Linked DNA regions of Elephas maximus indicus. The protein of the gene in region 1 interacts with the protein of each later gene in a pairwise test. Links are inferred from orthologs where the notes say so. Each region holds a gene or a part of one and is shown on either strand. Other genes may lie near its edges.

Region 1 (9,281 bases):
TCATTAAAAAGACAGGAAAGAAAGAAAAGATCAAAATGGATGTCAGAAGAGACTCTGAAACTTGCTTTTTAATGTCAATTAGCTCGACTAAATGGAAGAAATGATGAAGTTAAAGAGCTGGACAGAAGAGTTCAAATGGCAGCTTGAGAAGACAAAATAAAGTATTATAACGACATGCACAAAGACCCAGAGTTAGAAAACCAAAAGGGAAGAACAAGCTTGGCATTTCTGAAGCTGAAAGAACTGAAGAAAAACTTAAAGCCTCAAGTTGCAATATTGAAGGATTCTACATTAAATGATGCTGGAAGCATCAAAAGAAGATGGAATACACAGAGTCACTGTATGAAAGATAGAAATAGAAGGGAAATTCCTGAACATAATAAATGTCATCTATAGAAAACCAACAGCCAAAATCATTCACAACAAAAAGAGGATGAAAACATTCCCCCTGAGAAAAGGAACAAGACAAGGATGTCCTTTATCACCACTCCTATTTAACAATGTGCTAGAGCACTAAAGCAAGAAAAAAATAAATAAATAAAGTGTATCTAAATCGGTAAGGAAGAAGTAGAACTATCCCTATTCATGGATGATATATTATTCATAAAAAACAAACAAAAAAAAATCTTTAACTACTGGAACTGATAGATTCAGCAGAGTAGCCGTATACAAGATAAACATACAAAAATCAGTTGGATTCCTATACACGAATAGAGAACTACAAAAAATCCATTAACGGGGAAAAGATAGTCTTTTAAACAAATGGTACCAGCAAAACTGGATGTCCATCCGCAAAAAAAAGAAACAGGACCCATACTTCACACCATACACAAAAACTAATTCAAATGTCTTAGCTATCTAGTGCTGCTATATCAGAAATACAAGTAGATGGTTTTAACAAAGAGAAATTTATTTCTTCACAGTAAAGTAGGCTAAAAGTCCAAATTCAGGGCATCAGCTCCAGGGGAAAGTTCTCCCTCTGTTGGCCTTCTCATCAATGTTCCCCCGGACTAGGAGCTCCTTCTTCACGCAGGGACGTTGGGTCCAAAGGACGAGCTCTGCTATTGGCGCTGCTTTCTTGGTGGCATGAGGTCCCCAACTCTCTGCTTGCTTCCCTTTCCTTTTATCTCTTAAGACCTAAAATGTGATGCAGGCCGCACCCCAGGGAAACTTTCCTTACCTTGGATCAGAGCAGTGACCTGAGTTAGGGTGGTGTTACAATCCTGTCAACATAAAATTACAATCACAAAATGGAGGACAACCACACAATACTGGGAATCATGGCATAACCAAGTTGATACACACATTTTTGGGGGGACATAATTCAATCCATGACACTAGATAACTGGAATCTTCTAAAAATTAAAACAATTACACTCATCGAAAGACTTCCAAAAGAGTAAAGCAGAATCCACTGACCGGGAAAAAATTTTTAGTTATCACATATCTGACAAAGGTCTAATCTCTAAAATCTACAGGAAAATTCAACACCTATAAAAATGGGCAAAGGATATGACAAGGCACTTCACCAAAGAAGATACTCAGGTGGCTAACAGACACGTGAGGAAATGCTTATGATCACTAGGCATTAGAAAAATGCAGCTAAAAGCTACAATGAGATACCATCTCACTCAGACATTACTGGCATGAATCAAAAATACAAAAAATAACAAATGTTGGAAAAGTGAGCAGATTGGAACTCCTATGCACTGCTGGTGGGAATGCAAAATGGTACAACCTTTTTGGAAAACAATGTGGCACTCCCTTAAAAGCTAGAAATAGAAATACCAAACAAACCAGCAATCTTACTCCTAGGAGTACATTCTAGAGAAATAAGAGGCATCGCAAAAATAGACATATGCACATTCATGTTCATTGCAACATTATTCACAACAACAAAAAGATGGAAACAACCTAAATGCCTATCAACAGATGAATGGATGAACAAACTATGGTACATACACACGTGGAATACTATGCAACAATAAAGAACAATGATGAATCTGTGAAGCATCTCACAACATGGATAAACATGAGGGTGTTATGCTGAGTGAAATAAGTCAAGCACAAAAGGAAAAATACTGTAAGACCACTATTATACAAACATATGAAAATGTTTCTACACAGAAAGAAACAATCTTTGATGGTTATAAGGGAAGGGTAGAATGGGGAAGGAAAAACACTAACTAGATAGTAGCCAGTGCCAGTGCCGCTGAGTCGATCCCGACTCATAGCGACCCTATAGGACAGAGTAGAACTGCCCCAGAGGGTTTCCAAGGAGCGCCTGGTGGATCTGACAACCCTTTGGTTCGCAGCCGTAGCACTTAAATAGATAGTAGATAAGTGGTAACTTTGATGAAGGATAAAACAGTACACAATACTGGGGAAGCCAGCACAATTTGACCAGGGCAAAGTTATAATTTTCACAGAGACATCTAAATGCTATGAGGGGCAGAGCTACTGGCCTGAGGACTGGGGACCGTGTTCCTAGGGAACATCTAGGTCAATTGGTATAACAGTCCATAAAGAAAATGTTCTACATCCTACTTTGATGAGTAGGTTCTGGGATCTTCAAAGCTTGCGAGTGGCCTTCTGAGATACATCTACTGTTCCTACCCTGGCTGGAGCAAAGGAGAATGAAGAAAACCAAAGACACAAGTGAAAGTTTGGTCCAAAGGACTAATGGACAACTCCACCAGACTGAGCTCAGATGGTGCCTGGCCAGTTACCACCACTTACTGCTCTGGCAGAGATCACTACAGAGGGTCCCAGAGCGGGAAAAAATGTAAAACAACATTCCAATTCACGCACACACACACACACACAAAGACCAGGCTAGCTAGTTTGATAGAGACTGCAGGAACCTGAGAGTAAGGTCCCTGGACACCCTTTTAACTCAGTACTGGTCACTCTAGAGGTTCACTGTTCAGCCAAAGATTAGACAGGTTTATAGGGCCAACAATAACACACATGAGGAATGTGTTTCCTATTACAATCATGTGTAGGAGACTAATGGACACACCAGCCAAAAAGCAAAGACGAGAAGGCAGGAAGGGGCAGGAAAACTGGAGGAATGGAAACAGGGAACCCTGGGTGGAGAAGGGGAGAGTATTGACATTATCAAGGGGCTAGCAACCAATTTTACATAACAGTTTGTGTATTAACTGTTTAATGAGAAGCTAATTTGCTCTGTAAAGTTTCACCTAACGCACAATTAATTAAAAAAAAAAAAACCTAAGAGTGAAAAATAGAGGTCAGCTGAGGTCAATTACAAATTTTGTCCTTTTAACATTTTTTAAAAAATTTTTCTAATCTCCCTGCCATTTCAGAACCCTTTCTCTGTGATGAGTTTCATAACACTTTTTAAAAATGATGTGACTTATGAAAACATCCTCTCACTCCTTTCCCTGTCTATATGTAAATTGTATGAAATACTGGGGAGTTATCTCGAAAAAACAGCCCATCTTCATGGCCCAGATAAAGTGAGAAAGAACCTTCCTCCTTGGTACTCTGCAGATTAGGTGCCAGTCTCAAAGTCTCTTCGTAGACCATCCCTGTTGTTGTTAGGTCCTATCAAGTCAGTTCCAATTCAGCAACCCTAAGTACAACAGAACAAACACTGTCTGGTCCTACACCATCCTCACAATATTTGCTACGTTTGAGCCCATTGTTGCAGCCACTGTGTCAGTCCATCTTGGCGAGGGCCTTTTTTGTTTGTTTTTTGCTGACCTTCCACCTTACCAAGCATGATGACATGAGAAGTTTCACTATCCTTGCTTCCAAGGAGCTTTCTGGCTGTGCTTCCTCCAAGACAGATTTGTTTGTTCTTCTGACAGTCCATGGTATATTCAATATTCTTCACCAAATTCATAATTCAAATGGGTCATTTCTTCTTTGGCCTTCTTTATTCATTGTCCAGCTTTCGTATGCATAGAAGGTGATTGAAAATATGATGGCTTAGGTCAGGCGCACCTTAGTCCTCAAAGTGACATCCTTAGTGACATCTTGGTTTTCCAAGTCTTTAAATAGGTCTTTTGCAGCAGATTTGCCTAGACCATCCCTAGCAGCCCGAAAAGATGATTTTTGACCTTGAAGCTGTTAGCATTTCAAATCTAAGAACAATAGCAATTAAAAAAAAATTCTTGTTTCAGTAAACCGTTACCTTAAATCCACTGAGAAGTGGCAATTGAAGGCCACGGTCTGACTCTTTTGGCAATTTAGAGAACTAAAAGGGAAAATTCCTTTCCTTAATGAAGAAACAAAAACCGTATAGCCTATACCATTCCCCCACCAAAAAAAAAAAAAAAAGGTTTCAGGATAATTCGTAAATCATAAATACATTTTAAAAATAAGTATTCATCTGATGTGTTTAAAAAATAAAGGAAACGTCTAAATATTGTACTAATTTCATAATTCTAGCTTCATCAATGTATTTTTTTTTTTAATCTGCTGCTTATGAGAGTTTAAAAGAGAAGTGTACGAGAAGGAAGTGTCTCTGTGTGTCTTTATGTGAGATAAAAACGAGTGTGTGTGAGTGTGAGACAGAGCGTGTTGCTGGCTGGAGGAGGGGCGGTGGATGAAGGAAAGTTGAGAAATCCCTTCTTTTCTTGCACAAAGCCAGGGTAGCAACCCCGCCTCAGAATGAGGAGAAGGGGACCTAGAGCAGGCATATGGGTCGCTGCCACGTCTGACGGGAAGCGACCCGACCTGCAACCACTGACTTTTCTCCTTGGTAGCCAACAACCTGCAGCAGGAAAGGCGGGCGGGGGAGGAAACCCCGAGGAGGCGCTCCTGGCCGCCTCTTTGCTGAGAAAGCAGAAGCAGCAGCCTGAGGAGCCACGAGCGCAGCGTCACCAAACTGGTGCCGGTGGAGGGGCGCGCAGGGAGGCGTAGAAGCCCGGAGCCGCTTCTGCCGGCGAGTCGCCTGCGCTGCAGGACTCTGCGCTGTCCCAGCGTCCCCGGCCCGTCCGGGAGCTGGAGGAGCCGGCGGCCGAGCGCTGCCGGGCGCCGTGCCTCGTGCCACCTGCCTCGCGCACCGCGGGAGACACGAGGAGCCCAGAGAGCTCGGCCTGGCGTTCCACTCTCAAGAAACAGCCTGTGTCGGAGCCAGGAGAAGGCGAGCATTTCAATTCTCGGCCGGATTGGGATTTTCTTGTCACAATTTAGGGGAGCAAGAGTAGAGGTCAGAGGGATAGGCCAAAATCGCAAAAACGGCCTGAGGGTTGTGGCCGTGGACCCCCCTTTTGTTGTCGGAAAATCTCCTTGACATTTTTTACACTTTGAAGCAGCTGCAGCTGGTGTCGTCGGAAAAGGGGGTGGGAAAGAAGAGGGGGCGGGGAGACACAGCGGAGAGCCACAAGCGGCGCCTCCTCGCCTGCCAATCCCGGCACCTGTGCGCCTAGCCTCTGCACCGAGGAGGCTCCCTCTCTGGGCGAACTCCGGGCGTAAAGCCACGGGCACCCAGCCCCGGACAGCAGGTTGTGACCGGCGGTACCTGCAGACTCCCACTCCGGCCACCGCCGCCGCCTGCAGCGGCGAGAGTGCACGAACCCTCTGAGCTGCCCGCTGCGTCCCGGCCCCCGGGGATCCTTGTCCGGTAGAGGTGCCGCAGCCGACAAAGGGGGTTACGGAGTTGGGTGCAAGATTCCCTTTTCCATTTCGTCTCTTCTCCGCCCAGGATTTATTGTCTGTGGAGCCTTCTGGGGGTGGGGAGGGAGCTGCGCCTCCGCCACCGCCGCCGCCGCGGCCGCCGCAGCCGCCGCTACCGCTGCGGTCGCCAGCGCGGCGCGCAGGGCTGGCGGAGGCTGGGGAGTGGACGCGCTCTTGCCTCCCCTACCCGCGCATCGGGCTTCCCCTCGGCTGCTTCCCGCGGGAAGCTCTCCAGCCGTCTACCTGAAGGGCACTGTCATCATGGTCTAACGTGGCTCCTGCCTGGAATCCCCTTTCTCCTCCTCTTCCTCCAGCTCCTCCTCCGCCGCTCTCTTCCTCCTCCGAGGACCCTCGCACCTTCTCCACTGCGGACCCCGGAACACTTTAAGGAATAACCCCTTGACAGCTGCACCAGTGACGCTCGCGGGAACCTCATGGGCAGTTTCTCCCGCCTGCGATGTGAGTAGAACACTCTTGCTTGGTGGCCGAGGGGGCTGCGGGTGCCTTGCCACCTCCAGCAGCGGCAACCGTGGGCGCGTGAGGTGTGGGACCCTAGCGGCCGGCCGGGGGCGGGGGTGGGAGAGCGAAAGCCTCCCGCGCTCGCTTCAGCTGCTCGTGCGGTTGCCGGCAGCGGTGGCGGTGATGTGGTAGGTTTCGGGGCATTTGGAATGGGTGCTAGCCGGGTGGGTGCATGGGAGCACCGAGTGGCCTGGGTTGCCAGGAGACTTTAAAGGGTTACATGCTGAGAAAGCGAAAGGTAAAGAACGAGTGTTGAACGCTGGTGCTGGACCGTTTGTCGAGCTGAGGTTAGGCTTTGCTTCTCTTTATTATCTTGGATATCTCCAGGTAGCTTCCCCCCCCCCCCCGACCCCCGGCCGTGTCTCAGGGATCAAGCGCTTGTTCGATCGCTCTACACACACACACACACACACACACACACACACACACACACACTTGTGGCTGGTCGCACTTGTCTTTTTATCTTGGAAGATGTTGTATTACTGCCTTCGTGTCTATTTGTTTGAAAAACACAATTAGAAGATTTTTATGTTATTGGGGACCAAAGAGAAAGGGTGGGGTTTCGGAAAGGGGGGACGGTGGAGCCCGAAAGACTGGTGGACGGAAAGAAGTGGGGGAACGGTGGAGCGAAAGCTTTCTCTGGAAGTCAGGAGAACGATGCCTCCCTCCCCCTCTCCAGAGAACTCATGCCTACACATCTCCTTTGTGTTGCACCGCGAAGCTGGTGAACCTGCTCTATTCCCCGTAGCAGCGCTGGGCCCCCTTCAGCATCGTGCATCCTCACCTCGGAGTTGTTAAGCATGCAGGACGTCTTTCCGGTCCTACGTGGAAAGAAGGAGGGAGGCACATTTAACATTACGGTAATCATGGCACCCTGGCTTATCGACAATTAGATTGGCTAGCGGAGGTTTCTAGTCTTTATGTTTGTAGAGTCAAGAAGTAGGATGGGGGTGGGAGCTGTATAGAATGCCTTTTCAAACAGTGTGACTTCATAATAACGGAAATGTCTACAAAATTGCTTCATTACACTACTTCTTGGCCATCAGGGCCGAATAAAGGACCCGCCTCCGCCCTCTCCTATCTCCTCCCTCGCTGTTTTCCTCCCCACCAATTCACAAAGCGAGCAGGCTGGCGAGAGGGCGCAGCGCAAGGCGGAGAAGGGAAGGGGTCACTTTCACAACTCCAGGGAATGGGTTTCAGAAAGGAACCATCTGCGACTCCCACGTTCATTTCAAAGTTCTCCTTCAAAAGGATTCAGAAAGGGGGGGAAGGGACCGGTGAGATACAGGGATCCTCCACCTGCTCTTTTCCGTTACTTTCCCAGCACCCTTTGAACACAACCAATTTACCTGCAGTGGTAACTGGGTCAGCACGTAAATATGTGTACCTGTGTACGCTGAGATGTAGCTCTCTTGATGGATGAAAAGCAATTTGTTTGTGAGCATATTTTAACCTGGGCAAAATTTCTAAGCACAATAGAGATTTTATAGCGTGGGCGAGAAGAGTGCATTCCAGCGAAAGCAGGACACGTGATCCCTCCAACCCGAGAGATACAGTATTAGGAACTCGATTTTCTTTGTTCCAGGCTGAGCCTATGAGATCCTCAGCCTCCAGGTTGCTCAAGTCCTCCTCCTGTAAGAGGAATAAATAATAAAGTTGGCTGGAGGAGAGAATAGAGGGAAGAAAAGCACAGGTAAAGGTAAAGCACCTGTAAAGGACTTGAAATCTGCTATTTCTCTTTCAAAGCCACCAATCTCTCCCGCCTCCACCCAAGCCCAGTCCCGGCCACCCCCCTACTTAAAATGAGGGGTTTCCTTTGGGATAGGCGGTAGAAAAGTTCTGCAATCCCTGAACACGTGGGTTCTCCAGAGCCTCAGAACCTGCTGTGATTCGCGACAGAATTCTGACACCTCCCCAGTCCAAGTGTCACGCCTCCATCCAGGTGTCCTTAAGCTGACTTCCTCGGACTCTACAGGATCCACCATGAGATGTTTTTGCAAAAGACAGCAGAGCAGAACATAGTCACTACCAGTTGGAAACCATTGATCTCACTCGGGAGAGAATAAGAAACTAGGGGTGTAAGAACGATTTTTATTTTTCCTTAAAAATAGAAGTCTTGAGACTAAAAGCTATGTTGAAAATGATGTTTAGCCATGTCCTGATGCCTGTGTTTGGACTCCTGGAGAGTTGGCTAGGCCTGTGAAATGTCATGAGGTCTAGTTATTTCACAATTAAGTGGAGGTAGAACTTGCATCCAGACTCAATGTGTAATTAAAGTTACCTGGCTTGGAGATTTTTTTGTTGTTGTTACTGTCTTTTTGTTGTTGTTGTTGTTCCATCTTTTATAAGTCATCTGAATGGGCTTAAGTTTTTAAATGTGGGCTATTTCTGTCCTTTGCTGCATTACATCATACTAATATGTTAAAATGTCAGGGAAAGCAGAGTCAATTTCCATGACATATTATGAGATGAGCATTCTTTATGTATTTTTTTTAACTTGGCTGTCCAAGAAAAGACGTGTACTTACCATGGCAACCCTTACATTCTGCATCACGTGTGCCTGCACATATGCAGTTTCAGAATTAGAAACAACTTCTCAAAGAAAAGCAAACCTGATCCAATTAAAGAAGTCACATTTTATTCAGAATTTTAGCACTGCTTTAGGCAGGCATTGAAATTTTCTTAAAGTCACATTCCACTTTTTAAAGCTTTTAATTTTCCTGTTTTCTTTATAAAATATAGATCATAAAGCATTTTTGGGTGCTTGTATTTTTGTTTGCTTTGGATTTTTAAAAAATCATGAGGATATGGGTTAATATCATGATGAAGTTTTACTCTTTCTGAAAGCCACTAAATAAATATATTAACCACATAATAATATGGGTGTTAATTCTCAGGGGGTATTTCGTAGCTTCCTCTTATTTTCGGTTCATAGTACATGGTAATTATTTGATCTAAAAACCCGTTCTCTGAATCATGACTTAAAATGCCCACTATTTAGAACATTTGAAATCTTGAAGATAAGTGATGTATCAAAATGATACCTATTGGTACTATAATTTTATTTTCTGGATGACTGTGACCCCAAAGAATGAATCATACATTGTACTATA
Region 2 (8,490 bases), on another chromosome or scaffold:
AAATTACGGATAACGTTGCGAAGAATGGGAATTTCAGAACACTTAATTGTGCTCATGAGGAACCTTTACATAGATCAAGAGGCAGCTGTTCAGACAGAACGAGGGGATACCGATTGGCTTAAAGTCAGGAAAGGTGTGTGTCAGGGTTGTATTCTTTCACCATACCTATTGAATCTGTATGCTGAGCAAATAATCTGAGAAGCTGGACTATATGAAGAAGAACGAGGCATCAGGATTGGAGGAAGCTTCATTAACAACCTGCGTTATGCAGATGACACAACCTTGCTTGCTGAAAGTGAGGAGGACTTGAAGCACTTACTAATGAAGATCAAAGACCACAGCCTTCAGTACGGATTGCACCTCAACATAAAGAAAACAAAAATCCTCACAACTGGACCAATGAGCAATATCATGATAAACGGAGAAAACACTGAAGTTGTCAAGGATTTCATTTTACTTGGATCCACAATCAACAGCCATGGAAGCAGCAGTCAAGAAATCAAAAGATGCATTGCATTGGGTACATCTGCTGCAAAGGACCTCTGTGAAGTGCTGAAGAGCAAAGATGTCATATTGAAGACTAAGGTGCGCCTGACCCAAGCCATGGTGTTTCCAATTGCATTATATGCATGTGAAAGCTGGACAATGAATAAGGAAGACAAAAGAAGAATTAATGTCTTTGAATTGTGGTATTGGTGAAGAATATTGAATATACCATGGACTGCCAAAAGAATGAACAAATCTGTCTTAGAAGAAGTACAACCAGAATGCTCCTTGGAAGCAAGGATGGTGAGACTGCGTCTTACCTACTTTGGACATGTTGTCAGGAGGGATCAGTCCCTGGAGAAGGACATCATGCTTGGCAGCATAGAGGGCCAGCAGAAAAGAGGAAGACCCTCAACGAGGTGGATTGACACAGTGGCTGCAACAATGAGCTCAAGCATAACAATGATTGTGAGGATGGCTCAGGACTGGGCAGTGTTTTGTTCTATTGTGCATAGGACTGCTATGAGTCGGAACCGACTCGACGGCACCTAACAACAACAGTGACTGAGAAGTTAGGGATTGGATCATAGTCTCTGCCAACCCACCTCTTGGCTACCCAACATAAACAGAACCCTGATTCATTCAGGGTGTCAATGTGCCCAGCTTCCCTTGAGATAGGGGGGTCAATGAGGAGTAAGCAGAAGTCATTCACCAGGGCTCAGCTGCGAGTACCGTTCTGGCCCCTGCCACTCTCCTTTTTCCATGGAGTGTGGAACAGTGACCCAGGCCCAGCCAGACATCTTGTTGTCCTAGGATAGAGGCTATGGTCTAAGGATGGTGGGCACCTGGATTCCTGATGGCTTCTGAGAGCTGTGAGATGATTCTGGATTGCCAGCCTCCAGATTTCTTTTACATGAGATCAAGCCCCTCATTTTATTTCACCTGGTGGAGTTGACTCTATTACTAGTAGTGAGAGAAACTCAATTCCTAATTACTGATTGGCAGCTTTCTGCTAGTACTGCACCAAGTGCACAGGACAGAAGTGACTGTAACAGAGAAGAGGGAAGCGCCATACTCTTGGGGGAGCGTGGTTGTAACAATAAACAAGCAGGCAATGAAAGCCACCACAGAATCTTGGAAGGTGGTGAGCAATATCAAGAAAACAGTGCGTGGGTGGATAAAACCACAGGGCTAGGACTGCTATGGTAGTAGGCTTGCCCCAGGTGTCTCTGAGCAGGGAAGTGAATGACCATATGGAGCTGGCCAAAGACCTGGGGGCACAGAGGCCCAGGCAGTGGGAGGGCCCTCAGGTGGGAGCTGGCCTGGGGAGGTCAAGAAACAGCAAGTGCATGGCTGGACTGTGATTTTTTTAAAAAAAGGAATTTGGTGGTGGGAGATGCAGTCAGGGAGGAGCTGGGGTCCACTAAGCTGGGCTCGCAGGTCAGGGGCAGGGGATTCATCCTAGCCTCCCAGAAAGCCATCGGGGCATCTTCAGGAGGAGTGGCATGGTCCGTTTATCTTTAAAAGAGCACTGGTGTCAGGGCAGACTGGGGAGCACCTTATCCTGTGGCCTAAAGTGAGGGCCCAAGACCATCTTAGTTTGGACCAAATGCTTTCAGTGCATATGCCTCAGGCACGGCGTGCATTCTTTAGCCTCCCCACGCCCCCAGCCCCCACGGTCCCTCGAGCCCAGCTTACATGTCCACATCACCAGCCTGACCGCACGAGGCATTCCAGTTGGGGAGTACCCATCTAGGTCAAGTCCTCTAGCTGCACAGAGTAAGAAACTGAGGTCCAGGACGTGAGACACCCAAAATATCAGAAAAGACTCAAGCCCAGGTGTCCTGACTCCCTTAGCGCCATTCTCCAAGGCTGACAGTTTTCCTCCTTTGCTAGAAACAAGGCACTTAGACACTGTTATAGGAGAAAAAAAAACCGCATAGTTATTAAGCTACATCTACCACCTCAAATCTGCTGATATTTCTGATGCATAGCTAGTTCATCCTTTCAGCCTCCAGCGCTGAGGCCCCCTCCCAGGGGACGCCCTGCTCATTGCTCTAAGGGCAGGATAGCTCCCCGGGATGCACTGCTGTTTGCAAGCCCGCGGGCCCTTTCCCTTCCTGTTCCTGGACACGCAGGGGATTTCCATTTTTTAAACACTATAAATTGCACTTCTGGAAGCATATGGAAACCCCGGTGGCGCAGAGGTTAAGAGCCACGGCTGCTCACCAAAAGGTCGGTAGTCCGAATCCACCAGGCTCTCCCTGGAAACCCTATGGGGCAGCTCTACTCTGTCCTTTGGGGTGGTTATAAGTCAGAATCGACTCGACGGAAACGGGTGTATGTGGAAGCACAAATTATTAAATACGTTTTCTCTTTCTTGGATTTCTTTAGCTGAAATATCAATATTTAATATCAGAGAGATTAAAGGTTAGAGGTGGTATTTTTTAGGTTTTGTTACAGATTGCCACAAAACCTTGAGGAAGACTGGTCTGAACCACGGCGGCCTGTTCTACGTGTAGGAAGGACGTAGTCCCTGGGGGTCCGCCCAGGTCTGACAGGGACACCCCATTCCCAAGAAGATCTCGGGCAACCCATGTCGCGGCGCTGCCCCGTCTCCTCATTGGTGACCTGCGGACACTACAGCCCCGACTTCCCAGGGTCGGGGCAGATGATGGGCAGAGAGCCAAGAACCGGAATGTTCCAAATGGTCCACGTCCCGTGCCGCACGCACCACAGGGACCGTGCGTTCAGTCCCCGCGCCCAGCCCCGTCCCCTCCAACCTCCCCCCGGATGCGGGGAGAACTCACCCTACGGAAGCGAACCCGCCGGCCGGGAAGTGAAAATGGGAGCCGCAAGGGGTCAATGCACAGCCTGGACGCACGCTGGCGGGAGCGCCCTAGGCTGCGCGTTCCTGGGGTGGTGCTGCGCAACCCGCCGCCCCGCGCCCTCGCCCTCGCCCTCGCCCCCGCCCCGCGCCCTCGCCCCGCCCCGCGCCCTCGCCCCGCCCCGCGCCCTCGCCCCGCCCCGCCCCACGCCCCGCGCCCCGCCCCGCCCCGCGCCCCGCCCCGCCCCGCCCCGCGCCCTCGCCCGGCTCCGCGCCCTCGACCCGCCCCGAGCCTACAGCCTTGAACGCTGCCCTCCCTCCCTGGCGCCGGGAGCTTTGAACCCTGCCCACCCCGCCCCCAAGCAGAATGTAAGTGTATGGAAACCACTCAGCAATAAAATGGGACGCACAACCTGCATGAATCTCCAGAGAATTATAAGTGGAAAAAAGACACAGGTTATGTACTTGTGTGAGCCCATTGACACAACAAGCTCGAAACGACCAGAGAGAGTATATACAGTTAAAGGCTTAGTCCTTGCCTGGGGTGAGGGAGAGAGGTGAGCACCCCTGTAAAAGGGCAACAACAGGGATCCTTGCAGTGATGGAGCCCTTCTCTGCTTGACTGTGACAACGTCAGTACCCAGGCTATGATATTCTATTGTACTTTTGCAAGTTATCATTGGGGAAAATGGGTGAAGGGTGCACGGAATCTCTATATATTGTTTCCTAGAACTGCATAAAAAATATGAACCTACAATTACTCAAAATAAAAAGGCTTAATTACCAAGAAGAAGGGGAAGGAAAAGAAGAGGGAGGAAGAATAGGACAAGCAGGAAGTGGTTCAAGGTGTAAGCACAGGCTTAAACTATCCCCACTCCTGAAAGGTAACCACAGGGTTAAATTATCCCCCGAGCTCCCCCCATCACAGCCAGGCTCTCTGAGTTCCTGAGAAGGCATTTCCGTGTTACAGCCCGAGGTCGCCTTACTGCTTCTTTGCTCAAGGCTGCTTCACTACTCACCAACTGCCCCCGCCCCCTCCATTCTGACAGGAGCAATAAGCTGCAAAGCTGTGCTTAGATAAACTTCACTCGTCATACATGCACCCCCACTGCACCCCATGGATGTTAATTAGCTCCCGAAATTGCCCGCTTATTCCCAGAAACTTTGTGAATTAAGCATAAATTCCCTATCCTAAACCCTGTAACTGACCTAGAATCCCCAGCTTTGGTGAGCTTGATTTGAATCTTAGTCTCCAAGCTCCTTGCTTGACCGGTGTGCAATAAGGTCCACTTTCTCTTTCTCAAAGGTCTGGGCCTCTCAATTGACTCAATGGGCCGCACTGGGCAGAATCCACCCTCACTGGATTACAAAGGCCAAGGACATCCCTTGAATTCTTGGAAAAGCCCCAGGTTGCAAAGGCATTTGGGGTAATTGTCTCTTTTCCAGCACCCTCTGGCCTGTGCCACGTCTTCTGGAAGCCCACTTGCCCTTGTGGCTTCCCCAAGACCCCTCCTCAAACTGGATGCCTGATGTCTGGTGCTCTACGATGGCCCGATTTCAGCAACAGAAGGAAGATGTTCTCTGTGTCCATCGATGGTGGTGCTGATGAAGTTTGTAGCCCCTATTGGTTGCTGGAGCTCTCCCTTTTAGACTATATGTTACACGTGTGACCTCTCCCTGTCTCAGGGCGCAGTGTCCACATGTCTGTCCGTCTGCTGTTGCTGTTTTCAGAGGTGGGAATGTGGCCTCGCCGGGAGCTGTCCGCAACCCCTGTGCTCCCAGGCTGGGAATGGGCCACCTTGTCTTCTCAACCCAGGAGGTCCTGGGACGGTGGGAAAGGTGCTGAGGGCACTTCTGCCAGAACTAGAATGTCTCCACAGAGATCAAATCCTTGGCTCCTTTCTGGCCAGAATCACTTAAGGGGAGTCCTTGAACCATCTTTGTGTTACAGAAAGTGAGTGAATCATCCTAAGAAACGTAGGTGCAGGCCCTCTGGAATCACTGAACCTCACAAGGTGGGCAGGAAGCCCCCCTGACCAGGACAAGGGGTGTTCAGATCTCGTGTGAAAATCGGCCAGGCCTCTGGGTGGTGTGCGTGCCCTGGAGAGGGCCGGGAAACTGTGGAGTGGCAAGTGCTGGGACCAGCCCTGGAGCCATCCTAGTCAGAGGCATTGGTACAGAGATGCCTTGTCATCCATCCCAAGGCAGGGGAGGAGCTGCTGCAGTCCCTGCTGCCTCTGAGGCCTGGCATCTGCACTCAGGCCAAGCATGACCATGGTGAGCAGCATCTCCATGTGGTGGCAAGCAGGAGGTACAGGTGTGGACAGAGGGGACCCTGGACTGCCTGCGTTCCGTCTTGCCTTTTGCACTGTGTCAGCCCTGTGTCATTATAACCCTGGTTATAATGGACAAAATACAGTAGATGCATGCCTGACATACCATAATGTGTTATATATAAATACATATCATTCCTTTTTTTTTTTTTTTTTGTGGGTGGAAAGCTATTAAATACAATGGAAAAGAACAAGGGTTTCTCAATAAGAATAAAGCAGGAGGCATAACGTGGTATGTTCAAATCTCCTCATGAATCAACCCCACGTGTGAAATGAGAAAGGAAATGGCTCTCTAGAGGAGCAAAACCAGTGAAGTGTTCGTATAAATATATAGAAAGAGATTTTCTTCAAGGAAATGGCTCACACAACTCTAGAGGCTAGCAAGTCCCAAATCTTTGGGTCAGGGAGCCGGCTGGAGGTTTCTCCTGGCTCATACGGTTGCAGGAGCTGACGAACCCAAAATCTGCAGATTAGGCAGCAAGCTGCTGGTTCACAGGGCTGCAGTAGCTTGTGAATCTCAAAATCTGAAGGTCAGATAGGAGGTGCTGGCTCACATTCCTGGAACTCTTGATCAGAGGATGATGAGTAGGATGCAGAGTCCAGAGAGAGCAAGCTTTGCTGGAATATGCATATGTTTTGGATGTAGGCCACACCCACAAGGAGCCCCCCCCATCCAACTGATTGACTGCTCACATCAGATCACAAAGTAGAGGGTATTTATATAATATTTTCCAAACCACTGAGAATCATGGCCTAGCTTTAACCATCACAGGAAGCCTTATGGCAAACTCAGACTAAATTACCTCTAGATGTGTCTATAACCCATGCAACCTCATGGGGAACTTAACATTTTTGAGCATAAAACATGTATCCTAACTACACTCAGGTTATTAATACACAATGGTAACGGCATGCATGGTGGACTAAATAACATTAACCCATGAGACAGAAGAGAGTTTTAGGAGAGATAGTTGCCAGTCTAGGCAATTATGGAACAAGTTAAATTTGTCTTAATTAGGCAGGGCATTCAGAAGGGAAATATTTTTTAGCTAAATTGACCAATTAGGGGGAGTTTTCTTCCAGGAGGAAGACAAAGAATAGGTATCAGTCTAGAAAGATGAGACTTTAGTAAAGTGGATCCGGTGGAATCAACAAACAGTATTGGATAATGCCAGGGCACAGCACTGAGAAGGTGCTTGTATCTTGAACCAGTAGGGCCTCTTGACTTTTTTGTTTTTTAAATTTCTTTATTTTGGTGAAAGTATGCACAGCCAAAGATACACTGTTTCAACAATTTCTACATGTGCAGTTCAGTGACACAACATTCTTTTAAGTTGTGCTAACATTCTCGCTATCTTTTTCCAAATTATTCCCCCACCATTATCTTAAACTTACTGCTCCCTAAGCTTCCCATCCAACCTTTCAAGTTGCCATTGCCAATTTGATCTCATACAGATAATTCTTTAAAAGAGCATAATGTTCAAAGCTGTGCTTTCCTAATTCAGATAAACTATTCTTTCGGTTCAAAGAAGTTTTTAGGGAATAGTTTTGATTTAAGGTTTAAATTTTGAGTATTATCTCAGGGCAATAGTTCTGGGGGTTCAGCCAGCCTCAGTGGCTCCAGAAACTCTGGATTCCATTAAGAATTTGAAAGTCTGCTCCACATTTTCTCCCGTTTTACTCAGGATTCTTCCACAGACTCTTTGATCAAAATATTCCATAATGGTAGCCAGGCACCACCCAGATCTTCTGGTCTCATGTGAAAGGAGGCAGTTGTTTATGGAGGCACCGAGACACACATTCAATCCCCTCCTCTGGTTCCTGACTCTACTTCTTTCTCTGTTGCTTCAGGTGAATGGAGATGAATTGTTGTGCCTTGAACGGCGGCTCGAATAGCAGAGTGTTTTGATGATAGGCTGTCCTTTGACCATGGCAGTGGCCATGTAATCTGGGCCAACCCATTAGATTCTCTCTCAGGAATTTGAATCTTGAGTAGAGGACCAAGGATAAGGAAGGCATTTGGAAGATCCACAGGATCCTGATGCTGAAAGCTATAGAGCTTGCAACAGAGCTTCCTTTGACTCTGTGAACTTCTGATATCCTTCCATTAAATGCCTCCCTTTTGTTAGCTCACATTTGTACAAAGTGTTTTAGTGTGAAACCTACTGCAACCATCACACTTAAGAGTGAAACATTAAATGTATTCCCTTTAAGCCAGGAATAGGACGGATCAAATATCATTGTTAATATTCAGCGTTGTATTAGAGGTCCTAGTCATGTGACATGTCAAGCAAAGACATAAGTGACAAAATATTAGAGAAAAAAAGGAAAGCTGTAATTATTTGAAGATAACATGATTGCCTACCCCCCCAAAAAATCAAAGAACAAATGTAAGATTCTCAGTATCTATCGAGCATTAAAGAGATAGTAAAACACAGGACTAAACTATAAAAACAAGTCTTTTTTCTAAACATTACCCATAACCTGTTAGAAACTGTTCTAAAAATCCTATTTAACTTTCACTTCCAGGAAGGTGGCATAGACATACTTTTCTGTATTTCTCTCACTAAGCACAACTGAAAACATATGATTAGGATGTAAACTATACCACTTTCCAATTACTTATTGTTAGGATCTAAGGAAAGAATTTATTTCAGTCGTAGTGGCGTAACTCTACACCTAGAAGAACACTTGTTATGGTTTTGTTTTTCAGATGATTCTCCTTGTTTTCAATATTAACTGAAAATAATAATTTTGTCTTTCTTTATGTAATTGTATCCCATTTGGTTTTCTTGCTTCATGACATTAACTAGCAGTGTGAGAAAAATGTTAAATAATGGTGAT

Evidence for each region.
Region 2: the proteins of LRRC7 (region 1) and NQO2 interact in a two-hybrid assay, tested with the Homo sapiens proteins (2 studies listed by BioGRID). The two-hybrid records come from large-scale screens. The link is inferred for Elephas maximus indicus from reciprocal best matches to the Homo sapiens genes LRRC7 and NQO2.

The regions. Positions count from the first base shown.
Region 1 is NC_064821.1:115,848,706-115,857,986, forward strand, and holds the start of LRRC7 (leucine-rich repeat-containing protein 7), read left to right. Parts: upstream 1-5,749; 5' UTR 5,750-6,106; coding exon 6,107-6,108; intron 6,109-9,281.
Region 2 is NC_064819.1:43,491,245-43,499,734, reverse strand, and holds the start of NQO2 (ribosyldihydronicotinamide dehydrogenase [quinone]), read right to left. Parts: upstream 3,441-8,490; 5' UTR 3,297-3,440; intron 2,401-3,296; 5' UTR 2,185-2,400; intron 1-2,184. UniProt on the Homo sapiens protein: The enzyme apparently serves as a quinone reductase in connection with conjugation reactions of hydroquinones involved in detoxification pathways as well as in biosynthetic processes such as the vitamin K-dependent gamma-carboxylation of glutamate residues in prothrombin synthesis.